4 linked regions of the Nothobranchius furzeri genome follow. The protein of the gene in region 2 interacts with the protein of the main gene of each other region in a pairwise test. Links are inferred from orthologs where the notes say so. Each region holds a gene or a part of one and is shown on either strand. Other genes may lie near its edges.

Evidence for each region.
Region 1: the proteins of utp25 (region 2) and mid2 interact in binary tests that used the Homo sapiens proteins (3 or more experiments, as listed by UniProt). The link is inferred for Nothobranchius furzeri from reciprocal best matches to the Homo sapiens genes UTP25 and MID2.
Region 3: the proteins of utp25 (region 2) and rufy1 interact in binary tests that used the Homo sapiens proteins (3 or more experiments, as listed by UniProt). The link is inferred for Nothobranchius furzeri from reciprocal best matches to the Homo sapiens genes UTP25 and RUFY1.
Region 4: the proteins of utp25 (region 2) and mipol1 interact in binary tests that used the Homo sapiens proteins (3 or more experiments, as listed by UniProt). The link is inferred for Nothobranchius furzeri from reciprocal best matches to the Homo sapiens genes UTP25 and MIPOL1.

Annotation. Positions count from the first base shown.
Region 1 is NC_091741.1:89,375,133-89,381,425, forward strand, and holds the start of mid2 (probable E3 ubiquitin-protein ligase MID2), read right to left. Parts: upstream 3,932-6,293; 5' UTR 3,795-3,931; intron 1-3,794. UniProt on the Homo sapiens protein: E3 ubiquitin ligase that plays a role in microtubule stabilization. Mediates the 'Lys-48'-linked polyubiquitination of LRRK2 to drive its localization to microtubules and its proteasomal degradation in neurons.
Region 2 is NC_091758.1:40,758,520-40,764,030, reverse strand, and holds the end of utp25 (U3 small nucleolar RNA-associated protein 25 homolog), read left to right. Parts: coding exon 1-7; intron 8-96; coding exon 97-507; intron 508-1,085; coding exon 1,086-1,302; intron 1,303-1,373; coding exon 1,374-1,576; intron 1,577-1,776; coding exon 1,777-1,959; intron 1,960-3,021; coding exon 3,022-3,131; intron 3,132-3,258; coding exon 3,259-3,504; intron 3,505-4,100; coding exon 4,101-4,356; 3' UTR 4,357-4,415; downstream 4,416-5,511. UniProt on the Homo sapiens protein: Component of the ribosomal small subunit processome for the biogenesis of ribosomes, functions in pre-ribosomal RNA (pre-rRNA) processing. Essential for embryonic development in part through the regulation of p53 pathway.
Region 3 is NC_091741.1:103,300,916-103,306,465, forward strand, and holds part of rufy1 (RUN and FYVE domain-containing protein 1), read left to right. Parts: intron 1-1,684; coding exon 1,685-1,864; intron 1,865-3,184; coding exon 3,185-3,299; intron 3,300-5,550. UniProt on the Homo sapiens protein: Activating adapter involved in cargo sorting from early/recycling endosomes. Regulates retrieval of proteins from endosomes to the trans-Golgi network through interaction with the dynein-dynactin complex.
Region 4 is NC_091758.1:16,331,772-16,337,762, reverse strand, and holds the start of mipol1 (mirror-image polydactyly gene 1 protein), read right to left. Parts: upstream 3,699-5,991; 5' UTR 3,560-3,698; intron 966-3,559; 5' UTR 856-965; coding exon 818-855; intron 1-817.

The sequences.
Region 1 (6,293 bases), on a different chromosome or scaffold from region 2:
AAAATCGGCTCAGGTTTACTTATTTTTTGCACAGGCATTTGTTTACTGTGAAGTAAAGTTGAAGTGCTGAAGTTATGCAAACTAATTTTGAATAAAACTTGAATAACTGGCAATTGCTTGCTCATTTTAAGAGGTATTTCATAATTATAACATGCTATTTGATATCAAATCACTTTTATTGTCACGTCACATGTGCAGGTACACTGGTACAGTACATGCGAGTGAAATTCTTGTGTGCGAGCTTCACAGCAACAGAGTTGTGCAAAAATACAGCTTGTAAAAACAAGTAAAATATAAAAATGGCTAATCTAAGTATACAAATGAATAAAGTAAACAATAAGATGTAAAATGTACAGAGGTTGGTATGTGCAAAACAGTGGCATTAATGTACAGTATGGAGCGTGCAATGTTGGAACTTGGTGGAGCTCGCGACGAGGCAGCCATACTCGGCGCCATCTTGGCTCATCAATATATGATATAAAGGTTTACAAACACAAAAGGGTAATTTATTAGAGTACTCGATTAATCGAAAAAAAGATTCGATAGAGTACTCGATTACAAAAATATTCGATAGCTGCAGCCCTAAATACCATTGTGATGATGGCCGGCAATCGGGTGGGCAGGCAACCAGCTACTATGCTGCGCATGGATCGTTCCGCTGCCGTCCATCCTCCGTGACAGCTGGGGTGGGGTTGAGGGGCTGCGCACAGAATTTTCCACTACCGTTTGTTATAAGTGAGAGAGAGGAGTGCACATGGATCATTCCGTTACTGTCCATCATCCATAACTGCGAAGAAGGGTGAGGTGTGGACTAGGGCTGGGACGACTCATCCCAAAATACGTCCACGTAAAAAATGTGCATCGATGCGTCATCACGTTCAAAACAAACACGGCAGCAGCGAGTAGCGACAACATGAGTGAGGCGGTCGGCGAAAATCACTCACAGTTCAAAAGTATGGGTCTACTTCAACAGAAAAGGAAGCGATTCAGTCATTTACCAGCTTTGTAAAATGGAAATGGCCTATGACGAAACCACGACGGCCATTCACCAGCACATCAAACAACGGCATCCAGGAGCAGTGCCTTCAAACAAAAATACATCGTAAGTTCTCAAATTTTAACGCTGTTATTTACCATCCAAACACCCCCACGTAGACATGCACTCACTCACACACACGAGCAGACCCACGCACTCACAGTCTCATTCACTCACTCACACACACTGAGAAAAACATTCAACCTCAACTCATTGAAGCTGCTATAGCGGTAACAAATAGCAGCAGCTGTTACCTGTTTTGTTGGTTTTTATTTGTGGCTCATGCTGGCAAAATAATTCTGAATGCGCACATGCTGATTATGAGAGTTGCCGAGAGCCGAAAATGTGAGAGAGCGCAAATTGGCCAAAGTAAAAATGTTAAAGATAATGTCACGGCCGTCGTAGACACTATTCCAACATTGTTGAAGTTCTTGCTAAAGCAAAATGACAATGAACTCTTGATTGTAAAGTGTAATACCTCATCCTGTTTGAACTTATTTTCTATACTTCATGCTCCTCCAGATTGTTGATCATATAGATATAAGGTGCGTCATCTACTACTACAACAACTTTATTTTAGAATTTTTTTTAATAAAATGTGTTCAAATGAAGAAATGTGTGTTTATTTCATTGAGATACATACATTAGTAATACTCAAATTGCTATAGAAGTCAAATAATGGGGAAATAATCGATAATCTAATCGAATTGAAATCTAATTAAGTTGACAGATTAGTTAGAAGCATCGAAAAAAGTATCGCTAGATTAATTGATTACAAAAATAATCCTTTTGTCCAGCCCTAGTGTGGACACTTGGCCTTGCAAAGGACCAAGCTAGGCCTTGCAGCTCAGAAACAGACCCTAGCACCTTCTTAGGGTTCTACAACCCCCCAAGGTACTTCACAACACAATCAGTCATTCACCCATTCACACGCTGATGACGATGAGCTAAAATATAGCCATAGCCACCCTGGCGCTCACTGAGGGAGGCGAGGCTGCCAAACACAAGCACCACCGGTCCCTCTGACCACCACCAGCAGGCAAGGCAGGTTAAATGTCTTGCCCAAGGACACAACAGCAGCAATCTCTGGTCAGAGCCGGGATTTAATCTGCAGCCTTCTTATTACTGGACAACCCGCTCCACCACATGAGCTACTGCTGTTGTGTATTTTATGTGTGTATTTTATGTGTGTATTTTACATATTCATAACCTATAAGTAGTAAAGCATCTTTCTTTAAGCGTTATCATCTCAAGTTAACAATCAAAAACTCAAATAATCAAAACAAATAAAAACATGTACTTTTTTAAAATCTTACATTGTTTAATATTTACATGTTTCTTTGGTAAAAGGCTGATCCTCCTTTGCTTTGTCCGAGAACAGAGTTCCAGCTTCAGAAACAAACACAGAGATAAACAGATACCTGGCTGAACTATTCTAGGAAGTCAATGCTTCAACTGCAATGATTTCCAACCCTCTGTCACAACTATAATCATCCCAGCGTGTAGACACCAACACCCATTCCTCCCCACAGAAGGGAAAAAACCCTCACTGCTCATGTCATCATTATAAAGTCTTAATAATTATCATCTGAGGGTGCAGTGGGAGAGCGCAGGAGTGAAAGAAAGCCTGAAAACGAGAGAAAGAGGCAGTAAATGGATAGAGTGAGAAAGTAGGCAGCACCCTGTGGGTGCCTGACGGATGAGGGTGTCAGCTGTATTCACCCAACTAGCAGCCTTGTCTCAGAGAGTGTCAAGCCCCATGCACAAAGACCTGTCTCATTAAAGGCTGTGATCATCCAGCAACAAGAGAGCAAGAACGATCGGGCCCATAAATGACTTTTTAGAAGCTGGCGAAACACCAGTTCATTAAGCACAACGCTCTACTCCATGGCTGATCGACATTGACCACCCATATGGAATGTGTCCTCTTCACATTAGGAAAAGTTTATTTAATAGAGAATTCATCATCTAAACATAAGAAATAGAGAGAAGCAACACTCGACATTGGACCCCGCTTCCCTGCATTTGTATTGTTTAAAATTGGTGCATTATTAATGAGGGGGGGGGAATGTTAGACTCAGCTTTTTGGAGGCCAAACTCAAACCAGCTTTTGTCTCCTGTCACCAGCAGCATTACTTCAACAGTTAAAACACTGGAGCCAACACAAAAAGGTAAAAATCCTATTTCAGTGATCAACTACTTCATCATCCAATAACATCTATAGTTTTGTTATTTACATAAAAATACAACATAAATTTGACAGTTTTGACAGTAAAAGTCAATAAGTATCATCCACAATGCGCTAACAGCAGGGTTCAGCTCAGGTCATGTCATCTCAATCAATACACAATGTCACTATTGATCAGTGCAGGGCACTTGGGGGAAAACGATGAATAGAGGTTGCTAAATACATCCTAATATCACTGTAGACTATCTAACACATGCGCAAAGAGATAATTACTACTAGATGTAAAATTTACCACTAATGAGAAATTTGCTTGAGTACATTTGCTGATTAATCTGAGACGTTTTTCTGCATCAGTTGTGTGCACTCACACACACACACACACACACACACACACACACACACACACACACACACACACACACACACACACACACACACAAACACACACACACACACACACACACACACACAAACACACACACACACACACACAAACTGCTTACCCGTCCAGCTCCGGTTCTCTCAAGCCCAAACACCCCGAGCCCCCATAGGAAGAGACAGAAAGCCTACCTCGGTCCCCGGTGACAGCTCTCCCTCTGTGTTTCTGGAGGTCGACTTGTGGCAGGCGCTGACAGGATGGTAGTTTTCGTGAGCAGAGAAGTTTCAACGAGGCAGTGCCACAGTGATCACACGCGTTGTGTCAGCGTATCAGCAGACACCGCGTGACAACGCCCCAAAACAACAACAAAACAACTGATGTGGATCTTCTGGACCCGCTTCTGAAGGATGTTGCTTTTCCAACTCAGCTGTGCGCAGCTGCGCGCTTCCTCCTCCTCTCCCTCCTGACGCGGTTCCCCCAAACCAAACGAGGGCACGTGACCAACCCACAGGGGACTGGAATAGATTTCCTCACCCCTCCTCCCCCTCCAACAGTAGCAGCTGGGATCAGTTTCACCGCTGCTCCAGTGGCCGCGCAACAAACCCGAGCCGTGCGCACCCACACTCTTCTTCCACACATCATCCCGCCTCAGCGTCTGTCGCTGTCAGGATTATAGCTTCAAATTTAAAATGATCAGTTGAACAAATAAAGTGAATAAGAAAAAAAACATTTTTTGGCTTGTAAAGTTGGATGAAACGAACTGATCACGATTCCGATTTAAGCGTCCTAGAAGAAACTTTATCTTTATAATAAAACTGTTAGTTTTACTGGGTCAAGTGGCTCCATAGAAACAGCATCGATGTTTGAACCTATTCAGTAACAGATGAGTGAGGTTGAGACCCAAACAAGTGATACACTAATATCATCACCATCCATAGCCCCTGCGTCACAGCTTCACCTGGAAAAGGAGAGAGCGGAACGGGAAGACTGTCAGGAATTCTGACAGTTTTTGAAACCATTTTTTCAGTTAAAATTAAACGTTGCCTATCGAATTGATAAAGAGGACAAAATATAAGAATCTCAGAAGAATAACAACTAGCTGATTAGTACACTGCCCAGCAAAAGGCAAGGCAGCTTTATTTAGAGCACATTTCAAACACAGAGGCAATTCAATGTGTTTTACAATTATCAGGACATGGTATGAAAACACATAAAAACACAAAGTAAAATACACACAGATAGAATTACAGTTTAAATGATAAATGACCCACACTTGTACAGCACCTCTCAGAGTAAGGACTCCAAAGCGCTTTACACTACAATGTATCATTCATCCATTCACACACACATTCATACACTGATGGTGATGAGTTACGATGTAACCACAGCTGCCCTGGGGCGCACTGACAGAGGCGAGGCTGCCAAAAACAGGTGCCACCGGTCCCTCCGACCACCACCAGCAGGTAAGGTGGGCTAAGTGTCTTGCCCAAGGACACAACAGCAGAATTCTCTGTCCAGAGCCGGGATCAAACATGATACCTTTCGATTACTGGACAACCCGCTCAACCTGTTGAGCTACTGCTGCCCTTTGGAGCTAAAGGAAAAAAAGTTGCCACCAAAAGAAAATGTTGCACAACCTAATACTTTGTTGCACAACCTTTAGCTTTGACTACAGCACCCATTCACTGTGAGGTTGTTTCAATAAGCTTCTGCAAATTCACAAGATATGTTTGCATCCAGTGTAGCTTTAATTTTCACCAACATCTTGCATCGAAGGATCTTTCATGGCGGTTAAAATGAAGAGTCGGAGTACCCGGCCCGGAGGGTTACCGGGGTCCCACCCTGGAGCCAGGCCTGGGGTTGGGGCCCGTGAGCGAGCGCCTGGTGGCCGGGCTTTCGCCCATGGGGCCCGGCCGGGCCCAGCCCGAACCGGATACATGGGCTCGTCCAACTGTGGACCCACCACCTGCAGGAGGAACATGAAGGGTCCGGTGCAATGCGAATCGGGTGGCAGACCAAGGCGGGAGCCTTGGCGGTCCAATCCCCGGACAAGAAAACTAGTTTTTGGGACATGGAACGTCACCTCGCTGGCGGGGAAGGAGCCGGAGCTTGTGGCAGAGGTTGAGCGGTACCGGCTAGATATAGTCGGACTCACCTCGACACATTGCATTGGCTCTGGAACCCGAGACCTGGAGAGGGGTTGGACACTCTACTTTGCTGGAGTTGCTCCGGGTGAGAGGCGGAGGGCTGGGGTTGGCTTTTTGTTAGCTCTGAGACTCTCTGCCTGTGTGTTGGGGTTTACCCCGGGGGACAAGAGGGTAGCTTCCTTGCGCCTTCGGGTCGGGGAACGGGTCCTGACTGTTGTTTGTGCTTATGGGCCAAATATCAGTTCAGAGTACCCACCCTTTTTGGAGTCCCTGGGACGAGTGCTAGATAGTGCTCCATCAGGGGACTCCATTGTCCTGCTGGGGGACTTCAATGCTCACGTGGGCAATGACAGCTTGACCTGGAGGGGTGTGATTGGGAGGAACGGCCCACCTAATCTGAACTCGAGCGGTGTTTTGTTATTGGACTTCTGTGCAAGCCGCAGTTTGGCCATAACGAACACCATGTTCGAACATAAGGATGCCCACCGGTACACTTGGTACCAGGGCAGCCTAGGTCACAGGTCGATGATAGATTTTGTAGTC
Region 2 (5,511 bases):
GATCTCGGTACAAAGCACACAATCCTGAAGAAACAAAGCAAGTTTTTTAAGATTCAATTTTAAATAAATTATGCCTCTTTGCTCCCTTTCTTTTAGTGGCCCAAACTGGGAAATCTTCTCTGCACCAAACCTCTTGACCGGTTTGGCTCCATTGGACCACAAAAGGACACAAACCCGCAGATTTTCCACAAACTTTTAGAGAGCAGCTGGAAAGATCTAAACCAGTCTGTGAATCCTAAAGAAGAACCAGAACAGATCAGCTCTCTGCAGTTAGAGCTACTGACCCTCATGGGTTCATATAAGGACATGTTTTATCCTGAGATGTGTCCCATTAATCAGGGTCCAGAGGTTCGAAGAGCTTACTGCCTCCATGTGCTCAACCACGTCCTCAAGTCCAACTCCAGAGTCCTGGCGCACAACTCTCAGATTAGGGAGCAGAAAACTGCGGCCAAAGCTGGAGCCGAGCCGTACGAAGAACCCAGAGATCAGGGGCTGACCCGGCCAAAGGTAAACACCTAAAGGTCACATTTCTGTTTTCCTCAGCTGCAGAGATGTTTTCCTTAACCAACATTACCTAGGTTTCCTAGATCAGCTGGCGTTTCACCGACGCTATCACTTCCGCGTCTGTGAAACCACGCTCCCTATTGAATTATCGTATGATCACATTCTCTTTTTGTGGGTAAAACTCAAGAAAAAAAACTTTTTACTTGTTTTTTTTTAGTTTTATTACAAAAAGTGCATTTTATGATGAAATTGATGAATAAAAACAAGAATTTCTTGATATTTCGCATAGAAAAATACCGCGAATCAGTGAAAAATAACGCAAATCTGCGAATTCCCCCTGAAAAATGCTCCAAAGAAAAAATCCGCGAATCCGCGATGAACGAACCGCGAAGTAGAGAGGGATTACTGTAGATTGTAAAATTGAATCTGCGTTGCAAGAATAGAGCTTGTACGTGTGGAAAATGCTGCAGAAGAAAACTTTCTGAATCATCCTAAAAAGATCAGAACTGCAGTTACACAGCTGGTTCATAAAAACACAAATGTTCATGTGGCGTTTCTGAGGATTGTGTTCTCTGTGTCAGGTTCTGATTCTGATTCCGTTCCGAGGCGGGGCCTTGCAAGTGGTTCACACGCTCATCAGCCTCTTAGAGACGAAAAGTAAGAAGATCGTTGTCAGCAACAAGAAGAAGTTCAAGGAGGAGTTTGGAGAAGACCCTAATGACAAACCAGCTAATCTGCTAAGACCAGACGATTACAACGCCATCTTCTCAGGAAACGTGGACGACCACTTCAGGATTGGTATGATTTTGAAGGATCACATTCACACCATTTCTCTGAGTTTATCTCTAAGACTGCGCCGGCCTCCTCAGGTGTGTCCGTCGTGAGGAGCAGCATCCGTCTCTACGCTCCCTTCTACTCATCAGATATCATCATCGCGTCTCCGCTCGGCCTTCGCACTGTGCTGGGAGCAGACGGAGAATATAAGAGAGACTTTGACTTTCTGTCGTCCATCGAGCTCCTGATCCTGGATCAGGCTGATGTCTTCCTCATGCAGAACTGGGAACATGTCTTGGTGAGAACATCATGCATCTGAGGTGATGTGGCGCCACCTGCTGCCAGAGGAGTAACTTGACAGCTTAAAAGAAACTTTTCTTCATCAAATCAACTCCTCCAGCGTTTTACATCCTTTTACCTGTAAACAATAGTAGTTGATGTATTGTGGTGGATCATAAACACTTTAGCACAACTTCTCCGTGTTGTCATCCCCACCAGCATGTGATGAAGCACATGAACCTGCAGCCGCTGGACTCCCATGGTGTGGACTTTTCCAGGGTCAGGATGTGGAACCTGAACAACTGGGCCAAACATTACAGGCAGACGCTGGTGTTCAGCTCCATCCAGGACCCGCAGATCAACAACATCCTGACTAAACACTGTGCCAACTACAGGGGACAGGTCAGTCTTTGTGGAGACTTTATTAAACCTCGATTCTAAGGAGGATTCTGGTTGTCTGAGGGAATCCTGTGAGAGGAGGAGGGATTCCTGTGGGAATAGATTAGTAATTCCAAACTTGGTGTCCCAGAAATCAAGACGTAACCTGAGATTTCCAACAATTTACAGTTCAGTCACCAACCCTTCCCAGACTTCCACATTTCTTTTTGGGCATGTTTATAATTCCAATTCCCAAAAAGTGAGGCTGTGTGATTTGCATGAGACGTTCAGGATGGTTTAGTCTCCAGTAGGGCTGAACGATTAATTGCATATGCAATTAAATTGCGATGTGACAAAAGGAGATTTTCTTATCGCAAAGGCTGCGATTCGACTGGCAGCGAGTGGTTAGCACAATGCTAATATACATTGAAAAACCCATAGGGATGCTAATGCTAATATTGCCGAATAGATTCTTGCAAATAACGAATTAGAAACGTGCCAAATTATTACATTTGGAGTCTAATAAAAAGTTAAAACTGCCATTAATCAAAGAAGTACAGACAGATATTTTTGTAAAGCTAGAAAACTGTACTTCAACTCCACTGAGTTTTGGCTAGCAGCTGTGAACGTAACTGAACTACGGAAGCTCTGCATGGACAACACGTCAAAACTTCTTTCCTGCAAATAAGTTTTCACAGTTGATGCTAGTACCTATTCTCCTTCAAGGGATGCTCCTGGCTGCAGCATTGCACCTTCAAATACAAGATGTTGTCTTTACTTGTGAGTGTTCATGTATGTGTAGACAAAAAAACTTGTTGATATGTGTAGATACATAAACTTGTTTATATTCAGTACAAGTTACATAGATCTTGCTTCTGTTAGTTGAAAAATGAGAAAAGCCCCTTGAGAAAATAATTGTGAATTAAATCGCAATTAGATTATTTTCCAAAATCGTTCAGCCCTAGCCTCCACACCGCTGCCCAGCTTGCTGCAGCTCTGTGGGCTTCACTTGATTTTCAGACTTGTAGGCGAGGACTTGAATGCACCACACATGAACCTGCAGGTGTTTTTGTTTTCGTGCTCCAGGTTGTGACTAAAAACGTGCCACATGAGGGCTCCATCTGCCAGGTTGTGGTCCAGCTGCCTCACGTGTTTCAGATGTTTTCCTCGGAGAGTTTTGTTGATCATGACGCTCGGTAAGGTCTCCAAGAATATTGATCTGCTTTATTTTAAGGCTCGTCGTGTATTTTTACTCTCTTTTATACTTGAGAGCCTTAGTGAGTATCTTCACATCCATGCTGCTCTGACATTTTCCACTTGTAGGTTTCAGTTCTTCATAGATAAAGTTCTGCCTCAGTACAAGGACTCGGTCATGTCCCACACTCTCATCTACATCCCGTCCTACTTCGACTACGTTCGGTTGAGGAACCACATGAAGAAAGAGGAGATGAACTTCACCTCCATCTGCGAATATTCCAGCAAATCGGAAGTGTGTCGGGCCAGGCATTTGTTCCGGAAAGGAGAGAAACAGTTTCTGCTTTTCACTGAACGCTTCCACTTCTACAAGAGGTCTGTTTTTTTCTAACATTTAATCCAATTCTGTCACAAAGTTACTGTTTCTTTGTAAAGTTGGATCTAAAACCCATCAGGGTGACCTGAGTAAGAAGAAAATGCAGCTAAAATTTCCAGTTTGGAATTTTTTCTGAAATTGATTGAAATTTTATATATTTATGGACAATATGACTTTTTTCTTTCGTAATATGCATGAATCTAAAGATGTTTTTATTATTATATTTAACAAACAAATGTAATGAACTGTAAGAAACCAAGGCTTAAAACTAGTGGAGATGAATCATTTTATTGTTAATACGTATATTTTAATTGTCAGACTAATTTAAGCTGTTTTCATGGAAAACAAGGAAATGCACCCACATGTTTGAGCAGTCGTGTAAAACCAGCACCGTGCATGATGTGTAGGTTTGTGTGGCTGCAAAAACAACACACAACAAGTTGATCCTAAAATCCTCAAGAATTTGCTATAATAAGTGTTACCTGCCCCTAGTTGGATTAAAAAAACAAACTAAAATGGCTTTTCCCATAGGAAAGAAACTGATTAACTAAGAAGCTGTGGACCTTAAACTCTGTAATTGATTTATTTCATTCAGGTACACCATCAAGGGGATCCAGAATCTGGTATTTTATGGATTACCCAGCATCCCCCATTTCTACAGCGAGGTGTGCAACATGCTAGCTGCAGGGGGTCAGAGGGAGGAGGCCAGCAGGACCTGCACCTCCCTCTACTCCCGATATGACGCCCACAAACTGGCTGCCATCGTCGGGGCGCAGCGCGCCGGACAAATGCTGCACTCTGACAAGAAGGTTCACCTTTTTGTCACAGCTGAAGAGGAAAAGAGCCACTGACGGACGAGCAGTGGGATGTGATAGCCAAGCTGGTTTTCTAATAAAATGTGCAACTTTCAGTTAGATTTGTTTAATGTGCCGAAGCTGAAATATAAACTTGTCAGCTGTAGGAACCATAAAATATCACTTTTTAGATGTTTTGTGGCACAAATGTCTCCTTACCTGTTAGGGCAGTAGAGGGCTGGGCAATATATCGAAAATGTATCATTATCGAAATTTCTGACTTATCGAGAATTTTGCCCGTGTCAATACCCATCCATCCATTTTCATCCGCTTATCCGGAGTCGGGTCACGGGGGCAGTAGCCTAAGTGGAGAGGCCCAGACTTCCCTCTCCCCAGCCACTTGGGCCAGCTCCTCCGGGGGAATCCCAAGGCGTTCCCTGGCCAGGTCCTCCGGGGGAATCCCAAGACGTTCCCTGGCCAGGTGAGAGACATATAGTCCCTCCACCATGTCCTGGGTCTACCTTTAGGTCTCCTCCTAGTTGGACGTGCCTGGAAAACCTCACCAGGGAGGCGTCCAGGAGGCATCCTGACCAGATGCCTGAGCCACCTCAACTGGCTCCTCTCGATGTGGAGGAGCAGCGGGTCTACTCCGAGCCCCTCCCGGATGACTGAGCTTCTCACCCTATCTCTAAGGGAGAGCCCAGCCACTCATCGGAGAAAAGTCATTTCGGCCGCTTGTATCCGCGATCTCATTCTTTCGGTCACTACCCAAAGCTCATGACCATAGGTGAGGGTAGGAACGTAAATTGACCGGTTAATCGAGAGCTTCGCCTTCTGACTCAGCTCTCTTCACCACGACAGACCGGTACAACGCCCGCATCACTGCAGATGCAGCACCATTCCGCCTATCGATCTCACGCTCCAGTTTTCCCTCACTCGTGAACAAGACCCTGAGATACTTAAACTCCTCCACTTGGGGCAATGACCTCATCCCTGACCCGGAGAAGCATTCTACCCTTTTCCGAATCAAGACCATGGTCTCAGATTTAGAGGAGCTGATTCTCATCCCAGCTGCTTCACACTCAGCTGCAAACCGCTCCAGCAAAAGCTTAAGATCACGTTCTGATGAAGCCAACAGGACCACATCATCTGCAAAAAGCAGAGACCTGACCCTCAGGCCACCAAAAGAGATGCCCTCCACACCTTGGCTGC
Region 3 (5,550 bases), on a different chromosome or scaffold from region 2:
CTAAACTTTAGTAGGAGATTTATAACACGCATGAAACGCCATCTGTCGGTCTACGTACCCCAAGGAAAGCCTCCGTCAGATCCAGAATGCCGAGGTCCTCAAGGACCCTCTTTGGTACCGAAGACGGTAGAAAAGCAGCGGTGCCGACCAAACTAGTCTTGGAATGCTTCCAGGTCACGACAGGTTATCACTGGCGTCTCCGAGACCCTGAAGTGGTCGTGAGGTTCAGCTTTTATTCTGAAAGAACCATTGCGGTCAGTTGTAACTTGCAACAGATTTTATCCAGCTTGTCTGAGGTTCTTTATGGCTGAAGAGGAAGTCCAGATGGCCTGTCCGAGACTTCTCTAGAACGCTTTAAACTAAAGAAAAGGTGGCGTGGGATAGTTTTTATAATTGTCATATTTTGGCAGAATTTGACATGCAAAAGAGGGTTTATACTAGGGCAGCACAATATATCGTAAATATATCGTTATCGCGATATCAGCATGCACAATATGCAAATCGCAAAGAACAGAAAAATATCGCAATGAATGGTCAGCTCAAGTGTTTGCTACACATGATGCATTCTGTCAACCAAACAGAAACGTGATGTTTTTTTAACAAATCACATAGAGCTCTTCACCCATTTAGCCAATTGGGTGGTTCTCACTGGTTAGATGCCTGCCCCCGAGGCGGAGGGCACTTGATTTTGATGGTTAGCAAACACCTGAGTTAACTTTGCTCTGCTTTTCCCGGGATCCACCGATTGCCTTTTCTTGTTCATTTTCATTTTCCCTTTCCCCACATCTTTAGCTTTTCTCATTTTTATGATTTATTTATTTCTTTGTTTTTGATAAGTTTTGTTCCTGAGTTAAGTTTTTATTCATCGCAATTAATGTCGTCATTGCAATATTAATCATTGTTATTGAACATCGCAGGTTTTCCTAATATCGTGCAGCCCTAGTTTATACAAACACCACAGATACCCACGCCTAGTCCCAGAATGCGAAGGTTCTGATTGGATCAGACAAAAGGAAGTGTGTCATGTGACTTTAGCATTATGTGTCCTTAGTGTCTGGTGCAAATGCCCAGGATTATAATAACTTGTAAAATACTATTGATCACATGATTATAATATCAAGTAATAACATTGTCATTTCACAGATTGATTGAACATTGGGCTCACATTATTAACAAAGTTGTTGATTATGTATTCATCAAAATAGTTAGTCGTCTTTGCTGTAACAAAGGTGAAGCAGTTCAGATGAGCAGAGTGCATGAAAGACCTTTGCCACTATCTCATATAGATTAGGCTGTCAGAGACTTTATGTCTCTGCTCAAGCAGACACAGCAGATCATGACCTTTAGGTCAAAAACAGGACATTCATGACGCTATTATATATATATATATATATATATATATATATATATATATATATATATATATATATATATATATATATATATATATATATATATATATATATATACACACACACACACACATACACACACACTTGTTTCCAGATATTTTGGACATTTTATGATGTCAGTCTTTTACGTTGTTTGAACTCCAAATTTTCTTTTTTTTTCACAAGGCCATGCTGTTTTTAAATGTACTATAGAAATAAAACTGGATTGGATTGAAGGTGAGTTTGTTATTTTGATGATAAATATAAACATATTGTTTTGACAATCTTCACAGTCCTGACCCCGAAAGACCCCATGGCAATAGAGAGATCAAACCTCCTCAGTATGCTGAAGTTAAGCACCAAGGTATTAATCCAGTCCTCCTTGAGTCTGGGCAGGACTCTGGACTCGGAGTACCCTCCTCTTCAGCAGTTTTTTATTGTCCTTGAACACTGCCTCAAACACGGCCTTAAAGGTGAGCCATACCAACATATACAGTAGGGCAAAAAAGTATTGTCAGCCACCAATTGTGTGAGTTCTTCTACTTAAAAAGGATGAGAGGCCTGTAATTTTCATCATAGGAATAACTCAACTTTGAGAGCCAAAATGAGGAAAAAATGTCCAGAAAATACTTTTTTTTTAAATATATAACTTTCTTTAGCATTTTTTTCATCTTTTACAACAGTAATGGAAAAAAGCAGGATAAAGAAAAGGGGAGGGGGTTACCAGGAAAAACAAAAAATAACCTGTGGGGGGTGGGATACATGGAATGTTCACATGGTAAAAGAGAAAATTATAGAAATGTCCACTTGTGACACAATATAAAAAAGTATGTCCTCATTTACTTGTATGTCAACCATTTAGTCCAGTGCTTATTATACATGTGCTTTGATACGCATAAAAAGGGTCAGTCTCTCCATCTTGCATATCTCCTCTACTATCCCCATGGTTCGACCAGGGGAGCAGTGACTTTGAGCCAAGAAGTCCACATTGTCTGATTTTTAAAGAATTTATTTGCAATTTATGGTGGAAAATAAGGTATTAGGTCTTCTACAAACAAGCAATATTTCTGCGTCTCACAGACCTGTAACGTCTTATGTAAGAGCCTGTCCCCCCATCTGGTGGGGGTGGGGGGTGGGGGGTTCTGCAAAGGAACCAGGATGACAGGTCCTTGTAAAGGAGAGAATGAATGGGCCATGTATCGTCACATTTTGAGTGAAAATCTCCTTCCATCAGCAAGGGCATTAGAGATGAAACATGGCTGGGTCTTTCTGCGTGACAACGATTCCAAACACCGCCCGGGTAACAAAGAAATGGCTTCATAAGAAGCATTTCAACATCCTGGAGTGGCCTAGCTTGTCTCCAGATCTCAACCCCGTAGAAAATCTTTGGAGGGAGTTGCAAGTCTGTGTTGCCCTGCGACAGCTCCAAAACATTGTTGCTCTAGTGGAGAGCTGCATAGAGGAATGGACCAAAAATACCAGAAACAGTGTTTGAAAACCTTGTCAAGACTTGCAGAAAACATTAAATCTGTCATTACCAACAAAGGGTAAATAAAAAATTCTTGAGATGGACTTCAGTTATTGATCCGACAATGCGATTTTCTGTTGTTTTTTTTTTCATATTATCTCACATAATTTAAGTATTCTTGTGATGAAATTATAGGCCTCGCCCCTCTTTTTGAGTGGAAGAACTTGCACACAATTGGAGGCTGACTTTTTTTGCCCCACTGAGTTTTCACACGCTGTAATATTTGAATCAAAACTAATAGAGTATTTACTTGGATATATTTCAGCCAAGAAATCCTTCATCAGTCACAAGTCCATATGGGGACCTCTTGAACTGGTTGAGAAGTTGTGTCCAGAGTCTGTCAACATTACCACAAGTGCCAGGGATCTTCCAGGAATCAAGTGAGTCTTTAAACCCATCCAGCCATCCTCTTCCACTTATGCGGAGTCGAGTCAAAGGGGCAGCAGCCTAAGCAGGGAGGCCCAGACTTCCCTCTCCCCAGCCATTTGGGCCATCTTCTCTGAGAGAACCCCAAGTTCTCGGCTCCTGGGCAGCCTAGAGACATATGCCACTTACACACTAGCATCGGCTCCACTCCACTCCGCTCCTCCCGCCCTAGCATTGGCTCCACACTGCCCAGATAGCCCCTGTCGGCCCTAGCCTGGCCCGGTTGATTCCACACATGCTTGCTTAGGAATGCAGTCAGAGACGTTTTCAGCTCGGGGTTTCCGCTATATATTTTTTGTCGTGCCATGGCAAAATAAAAGCCACCACACCTTCAGAAGGATGAAAAAAAAAAGTTAAAACAACATACCTTAAAGGGACTTTACGGAGTTTTGAATTTTTATGCTCGCGATTGCCCCTTCAGGCCAAAAGCGTAACGGCAGCTTCAATAGTAGGCTCGTGCACGAGGCGCGCATGCTGTACGTGCACACTCCTTAACGCAAATACAGCTGAGACAGTCCCGTGTGTGTGTGTGGCCCGGAGGACAGGAGAACGCGCAGCTAATTAATTAAATAATTTGATTCTGTACCTTTCTTTCTCTTCAGCACAGCCGACAAAGGTTTATGATGGGTCAGTCCGTCAGCTTCACAGACCATTCCCTTCCCTTGCTTGAAAAATTGTTCCAAAATGAAAGTTGAACCCACATCTTTTTTATCTGTGAATTCAAAGCCGTTCGGCGAGTCTCAAATAAAAATTTGGGCATCTTACTGTAAAAATATATACCATTAATGTAAAAACTAAACTCTACATAAATTACATTCACATCAAGAATCAAACCTGGATCTTCTGCTCAAGAGTCTGATGTCTAACTAGTTGAGCTAAAGCGCCAGTGAAGTCTGGGGTATCTGTAACTTTTATATCCTAGATGACAGCTGAAACAACGTTCAAAGAATGGTTCGGAGCGAAAATGGCTATTTTGTTGCTAATTTGCTGGAAATATCTAGAAGAAAGTAGCTAAGGGTCCTCAGAAATGTAGGTAGGTTCATCACTAGGCGTTAGGAACAGCGACAAAGTCGCTAAGTTGGCACTACCTCACTCTCTGTTGCTTAAGCTACGGATAGCAAATGGTACGGGCTATGCCTGAGCGTGAACGCGCATGAAGCAGCCCGCTCGACCCGAGCAGCTCTCTTTTTCTGTGATTTTACAGAAAAATCGACATAAACAGGAAATCACAGTAAAAATGCCAGGGCTCATTCTACAGGACCAGGGCATTGCAGGAGAATGTATGAAGAAGAAATTTATTATTTCTATGCATGTTTTGGCTGTCAAACTTCCATAATGCCCCTTTAATAATTTATTTTGTGGATTTACATTAAAACAATGTAAATATGAGACATCTATAGTCTATATTTGCACATGTATACTAACCATAATCAGTTTAAAATGATTTTAAATATAACAAAACTTTGAAATTTGTTTTTCTTTGAAAAACTAGTACTGCTGGTTTTTCCCCGCGTGCGAAGGCTCCCTAAACGTGCATCACGCGCAGTGCGCAGGGCACAGAGGGGCCAGAGGGGCACCAAGCAGTCAGGTTTATGAAAAGAAAGATAGATTATATTAACTGTAGTATTAGCTACTGGACGACATGCACACACACGGCGTTATTTCACACACAGAATCCCATGTGTCTAACTCAAGCCAATGTGCTTCTCTCCGCTCTGGATGTGAGGTGGGCGGAGCGATGAGCTTCACCTGCGGTAGATGAGACCGGCAGACCCGGTTCTCTCTCCCAAAACCGTGAGTCGCCAAAACGACGTGATTTTATTTAGAAATGCAGCCGATTTTGACGGAGTTTCAGTCCCAAATGTTTTTTGTCTAGTTTTCACTCATCAGCCACATGCTTGCTACTCTCACTCATAGCAAGCTGGGCTTTCTACCGTGGTGACTCGCTCACACGTCCCTCTCCTACATTAGTTGGTTACGCGGTGAATTAATGTTTTAATTCACCGCGTAACCAGTGTGTTTTTTCTGTTTGGGAGACGAACCCCTCCTCGGTAACCGGGTTACTGGTACGGAAGCCCGGAAAGGTCAAAATTCCTCAAACATATTTTTTCCTACTGGCTGAAAAAAATTTATTGGATAGAACAGATTAGATGTATTAATCCCACAGTGGGGTCATTCACTCATCACAGCAGCACATACACTTAG
Region 4 (5,991 bases), about 24 Mb from region 2:
TGAACTTTAAATGCACAAAAATAAGCCATAAATACAGTTTCTACTATCAAAGTAGTCACACTTTGTTGATCCAAACACTGCTGATCTCTCAACACAAATGATGGGCAGATTAAACAGTTCATGTCGATGCTTCTCCCACACAACGGGTGTTTGGATCTAACTTCCGTGTTTATTGCTCGGACTGTATCGCAAGATCTCGAAAATCCCGCGCATGCTTGTTTGCCCACCTCAGGTCTCCGCACCGGAGCGGAGCCATTGTAGAGCGGGTACCAGTAAAAACTGAGTTCGGAAGTGAGCGGCTGCGGAGCGGAGATAGTGGAATCTTGGGGTAAGGCTGAGTCCGGCCACCCAGATGAGGAAACTCATTTTGGTAGCTTGTATTCTTGTCCTTTCAGTTGTTACCCGAAGCTCATGATCATCGCTGAGGATCAGAACAACGATCGACTTGGTAAAATGAGAGCTTTGCTTTCTGGCTTAGCTTCTCTTCACCACAGCTGTCTGATTCTGCATCACTGCTCTGATCCGCCTGTAGATCTCCTGCTTCCTCCTTCTATCACTCATGAATAACATACTTAAACTCGTCCACCTGAGGTAGAACCTCTCCTCCTCCCAAAGCCGGTTCTCCACCCATTTCTGGTTGAGAACCGTGCCTCAGATTTAAAGAGTTGATCCTCATCCCGACTGCAAACCTCCTAAGCAAGAAGTCAACATCAAACTTAACTTCCTATAAAAGCAAAGACCTATGGACTGCAATGCTAATGCTAACTTATGCATAAACAAAAACACCACTGGACTTTGGTGTTTAGTGTTCACCTACATGATGGGAAGTCCACTTGTTGTGAGAACAATCTGCATTCTGGTTTTGCTTATAGCTCCTGGACCAGAGGAGGATGTTCCTTTTGATCACTGGTTGGGTTCATCCAGTTAAGGGCAACGAAGCTCCATTGTTCCAGGTGACTGTTCTGCTGAAATAAAGAAAATGGAAGTTAAATAGCATAAGATTTAGATTTGAAATGGGTAAGAATAAACAGTACAAGTGCACACAAACATTTTAACCTTCAAATGTCCACTACCTAGGAGGAGAAAACTAAAAACCCAGACTGCTGACCTGAATCAGAGTACAATTTATTATTTTCTAAACAAACATTTCATCTTTTAGCAGGCTATTTACAGCTAACAGGTGACCTTATTGGACCCAAAAAAAACAGTCTAATATATTGATGAAAGCAAAAAGGAACTAGAAATAAAAGTTCGAAGGAAAGTCAGACATTCACTAGGCTTCCTTTCATTATGCGTACCTGTGAGTAGAATCAGAAGGGTTTTACTGCCACGTGTGCGAAAAATCACAACATTAGGAAAGGAGGTGATGGTGGGATCCCACTTGAGGTCCTGGGTGATGGTGGTGCCCAAGAAGCGACATGAGTCCACCATCGCGATGGGAATGTCAGACAGGGTTATGGGGGGGCTGTGTGCTTCCTAAAGTCCACAACAACCTCCGCTGTCTTCTGGCTGTTTAGCACCAGGGTGTTGTGGCAGCACCAGGACACCAGCCGCTCCACCTCCATTCTGTAGGCTGACTCATCCCCGTCAGAGATGAGTCCGATGACGGTGGTGTCGTCTGCAAACTTGATAAGCTTGACAGACTTGTGGTTGGAGGTGCATCCGTTGGTGTAGGGGGAAGATCAGAGGGGAAATAACACAACCCAGAGGGGAACCGGTGCTGATGGTCCGCAGGCCCGAGACATTCTTCCCCAGCCTGACTTGTTGATTCCTGTCCATCAGGAAGTCAATGATCCATCTGCAGATGGAGTCAGGCACGTTCATCTGGGACAGTTCGTCTTGAAGGAGGTCTGGGAGGATTGTATTGAAGGCAGAGCTGAAGCCCACGAACAGGATCCTGGCGTAGGTATCCGAGGAGTCCAGTCCACTTTTCGTTGATATTGTGTAAATATTTGTGTTATTCTGCTAGACGCATGTCAGTTTTACTGGTTACATAACTGCTATGACTGCAAATCACCTAACCAATCATCTGTTGTTATCAAGACAAAGTAGCGCCAATCAAAGTAAACCTTTTTGTAATATGCAACAACGATACAGAACTCACCCAACAGTCCACAGCCAGAGATCCGTGTTGTTTCCATGAACTTCAGAGCAACACGGTTTCCATGTTTTAGTGATATCAGGACGGATTTACAAGTGATGCTTTTAATCAATTTATTTACAATGTAAATAAATACAATAAAGAAAGTAGAAGTGCAATGTGGGATATTTTTAACTGCATTAACTTCCTTTGATAACTAGGGCTTTACAACTTCCAGGAAGGCCTTATATGGGAATACTTGCAGAGAGATCAGGGCAGTACCGGTGTCGGTACAGGATCTGCTCGGGTGCAGGATCGGCTCGGGGTCCTTCGACTGCCGATGACGTCACATCACTGCAAATCTACTCAGCTTTCACACACGTTTTGGAAAGACATCAGCAGTTTTGTTAATAAATTCTTGTTTGTTAACACCTAAATGTTTTCTTTATAATTGTAATTTGTTAATAAAACACCATATTATCTTTGTTTTGTAAAGAATGTGAAACTGCATAAAACCAACATCGGACTGACAAAAAAACAGAACAGTTCTTATATGGGAAGCCATATCTGTTTGTATTAATGTGGAGTTCGTCTGTATATTTCCTTAGTTGTTATGTAAATACATTCTTTGACTCAAAATATTGCTTGGTGTCTTTCAATAAAGTTCTTATATTTTATTTTGCCCCATTTCATCAACATCAAGAGCTTTTGAGGGTCACCGTTTATCATTTGCTTATATTTTACATTTCCTTTAGAAATTCAAACATATTTTCTCCAAAAAGTGTTGATTTTTGGACTACAGGATTACAACCGCTAAGACTACGACCGCAAAGTTGTTGACCAATCAAAATCATAACGTGATAGCATAACTTCTGTAAGCTTCATGTTCAGCCAATCAACTACTTTGACGTCATCGGCGGTCGAAGGACCCCGAGCGGATCCTGTACCAACGCCAGGCCTTGCCTCTGTCAGTGCGCTCCAGGGCAGCTGTGGCTACACTGTAGCTCATCAGCAGGAGGACGTCAATGTGTGTGTGGGTATTCACCTGGATGAAAGCTCCGCCTACTCACCTGCATTAGTCAGGTGTTTTTAAAATCTAATAACTGATCCCAGCCCAGCATGCATTATGTTCAGAACCAACAACAGGAAACAGGTGGATGGATGAACCGCGGTTACATTGAGAGAGCGGGGCTTAAATATTATACTGGAACCAACCGGTAGGAGGCGGCTTGGGGCGAAACTTGTGGTTAATACTCAGGTTGATTTTCCAATCTGAAGAACTAAAGAATCAGCCTGAAGACACAAACTCCTCCGACCCCTACTTTTCTTCCTACACCGACAAGCATTGGGCCCTATAACGCTTCGTGATCATTTACACGGAAAGGTTAGGTGTAAAACCACTTTAGTTCCCTGACCAGTGAGTGGTAAATTAGCCTGTTAGCTAAACCACGGCCTGGGGGGTGACCCCGATAAACTCACCGAGTCCCGCTGGGCAGGCACGATCCGTCTCAGAACAAATCTGGCTCTATCCGTTGGTTTCCAGCTCTTTAACTCCTGATTGATTCTGAATCTGAAGAAAGTTTTGAGTGCAGAATAATGGAGTAGAATAATGGCGATCTCCTTCTTGTCACTTTTTGGCAGACCAGCCGTGGGGTTTGGAGCCTGCTGCCATCTAGCGGCAAACATGAGTCACTACACCTAGGACCAGCGACTAGGTTGCCCCACCAAGAAAAACCTAATGAAAAAATTATTTGTTTGTATTTTCTATTCCTTCTAGTGACTAATGATCACAATCAATATATTTTTTATACACACTTCCTAGTTTTTTAATTACTACCTTCTACCAAACGGTTGAGATGTGTCTCTATGGTAAAAGTAAATAAAGTAAAATAGACATAACAACTAGGGAAAAAAAGTCAGCATTATACTCATTTTGAAATAAAAATAACTACTCAAAAATTTTACCCACTTTATTCTGGTAGTAAGACACCAAACAGTTAGATTCCATTTCAAATTTGGAAGTTATTCTAACAAAGTGTAAAAAAAAGATACACAAATAATGATCAGAAAGATTTTATACAAGTACTGTAAAAGATGCTCAGAACATGCAAGTTTACTTCTGACCTTACATTGTAGTGTTGAAACAGCATAAACATTTTTTATTTTCCATAAAATTCCAAAAGTATCCTATTCACCGTTTCCACTTTGCACTGGAAATTAGAGAACACACTGAATTTTTTCTGGTTCTTTTCTTTTCTCATTTATGATGCAACTGCACCAATACCTCCTGATCATTAGAACCTCTGGTGGTACACTGCAAAGCATTCCTGATTTGCATTCAAGCTCAGAAAAACATTGCATTTCTGACATTTCCATCTTGACACACCCTTTGGACAATAACTGCATCGGACTCGCTTGTCACAGTGAAGTGGCCAATGCCCACAGCGGTCGTATCGCACATCTGGTTGTGGTTGTGAGGGTTTTGTGATGTGGCGTTTCTTCGATGGGGGTGGAGAGCTGGATGATGGTCGGCCAACTTTGCAGGGTTTCCCTTACATAGGCGTAGCCGTGGCGGGTCGCCACGGCTGAAATCCCACCGCCACGCCTACAAGATCCCAAGTTTTTTTGTTTTTGTTGGCGCTGTTTCTCGAAACAGCGGGAACTACTATGTTGTTGCTTGTGATCACAGCCGGCGGGCAGCAAGGAGCAGGCAGGGCAAGGTGAAGTTACAGCATAAGTTACTGAGTTTAAAATTAGAAAGGTAGCAGTGGATATAATGCCTTTTGGTTTACATGTTTCAATAGCATGAAGATAAACGAGTGTTGACGATCTTGACAGGTTTTCCTCCAGTGCTTACTAGGCCACATTTTACTCCCCCCACCAGGCTAAGCATCACTTATTCATATAAAATTTATTTTTTCATGTCTGACTTTAACCGCATCTAATACTGTATTACGGCATGAGCGCAACAGCGACAACTTAAGATCGATGCGTGAGCAGCCTGAGAGGTTGGGTGCTTTCATCTGAACCCTTAAAACCTCCAGCAGGCTACGTTGCACTATTGACGTGTTAGTGCGCGGCGCTAACAACTTAGCGACGTGACATGTCTCGGAGAAAGCGTAAAAACACGTTGGACGCTTCTTCTGAAGTGGGAAAATAACACCGCTTCTTAAGCAGAGCACGACGTCGCCTCTGCCGACTGCATGTACAGTCTATGGCCGAGCCGGACTGAGCTCGATAACATTGACCCAGCACAGCCACTAGGACGTTGGAGCTGCCCGTGACTGTCTGATAGAAAACCAGCAGGTTTCATCAGACTCGTAAAGTTTCTTGTTTTTGCTGGGGACCCCCTGTATTTTACCGCTCCCTCCTGCAGTCTTCCCCTATTAACATTTAAAATGATTCTGTAAACTCTGTGTATCAATAGAAAAAATCTCTGTCTCTGCCAGCTGCAGTAAATGTAGTCTCCAAATAATAAATAAGAGGTGCATTCATCTGTGTATGTCCCTTGATCCGCATTAGTGATATTCTCAGCACCAGAACAGTGAAGCAAAGAAAGATTCCTGAGTTTGTTAGTAATTTTATTTATTAGGTGCATCTATAACCTGTTATATTTTTCTCTGAAACGAGATCAAATCAGTGCTTCTATGGGTTGTCTCCTCTCTTGCACTAGAAAATTTTACTTTATTTAGAGACGTGTCATATCCTGGTACAGGGCTGTGCAGTGGCGCAGTGGTTAGAGCTGTTGCCTTGCAGCAAGAAGGTCTTGGGTTCACTCCCCAGCTTGGGATCTTTCTGCATGGAGTTTGCATGTTCTCCCTGTGCATGTGTGAGTTCTCTCTGGGTACTCCGGCTTCTTCCCACAGTCCAAAAACATGATTGTTAGGTTAATTGGTCTGTATAAAATGTCT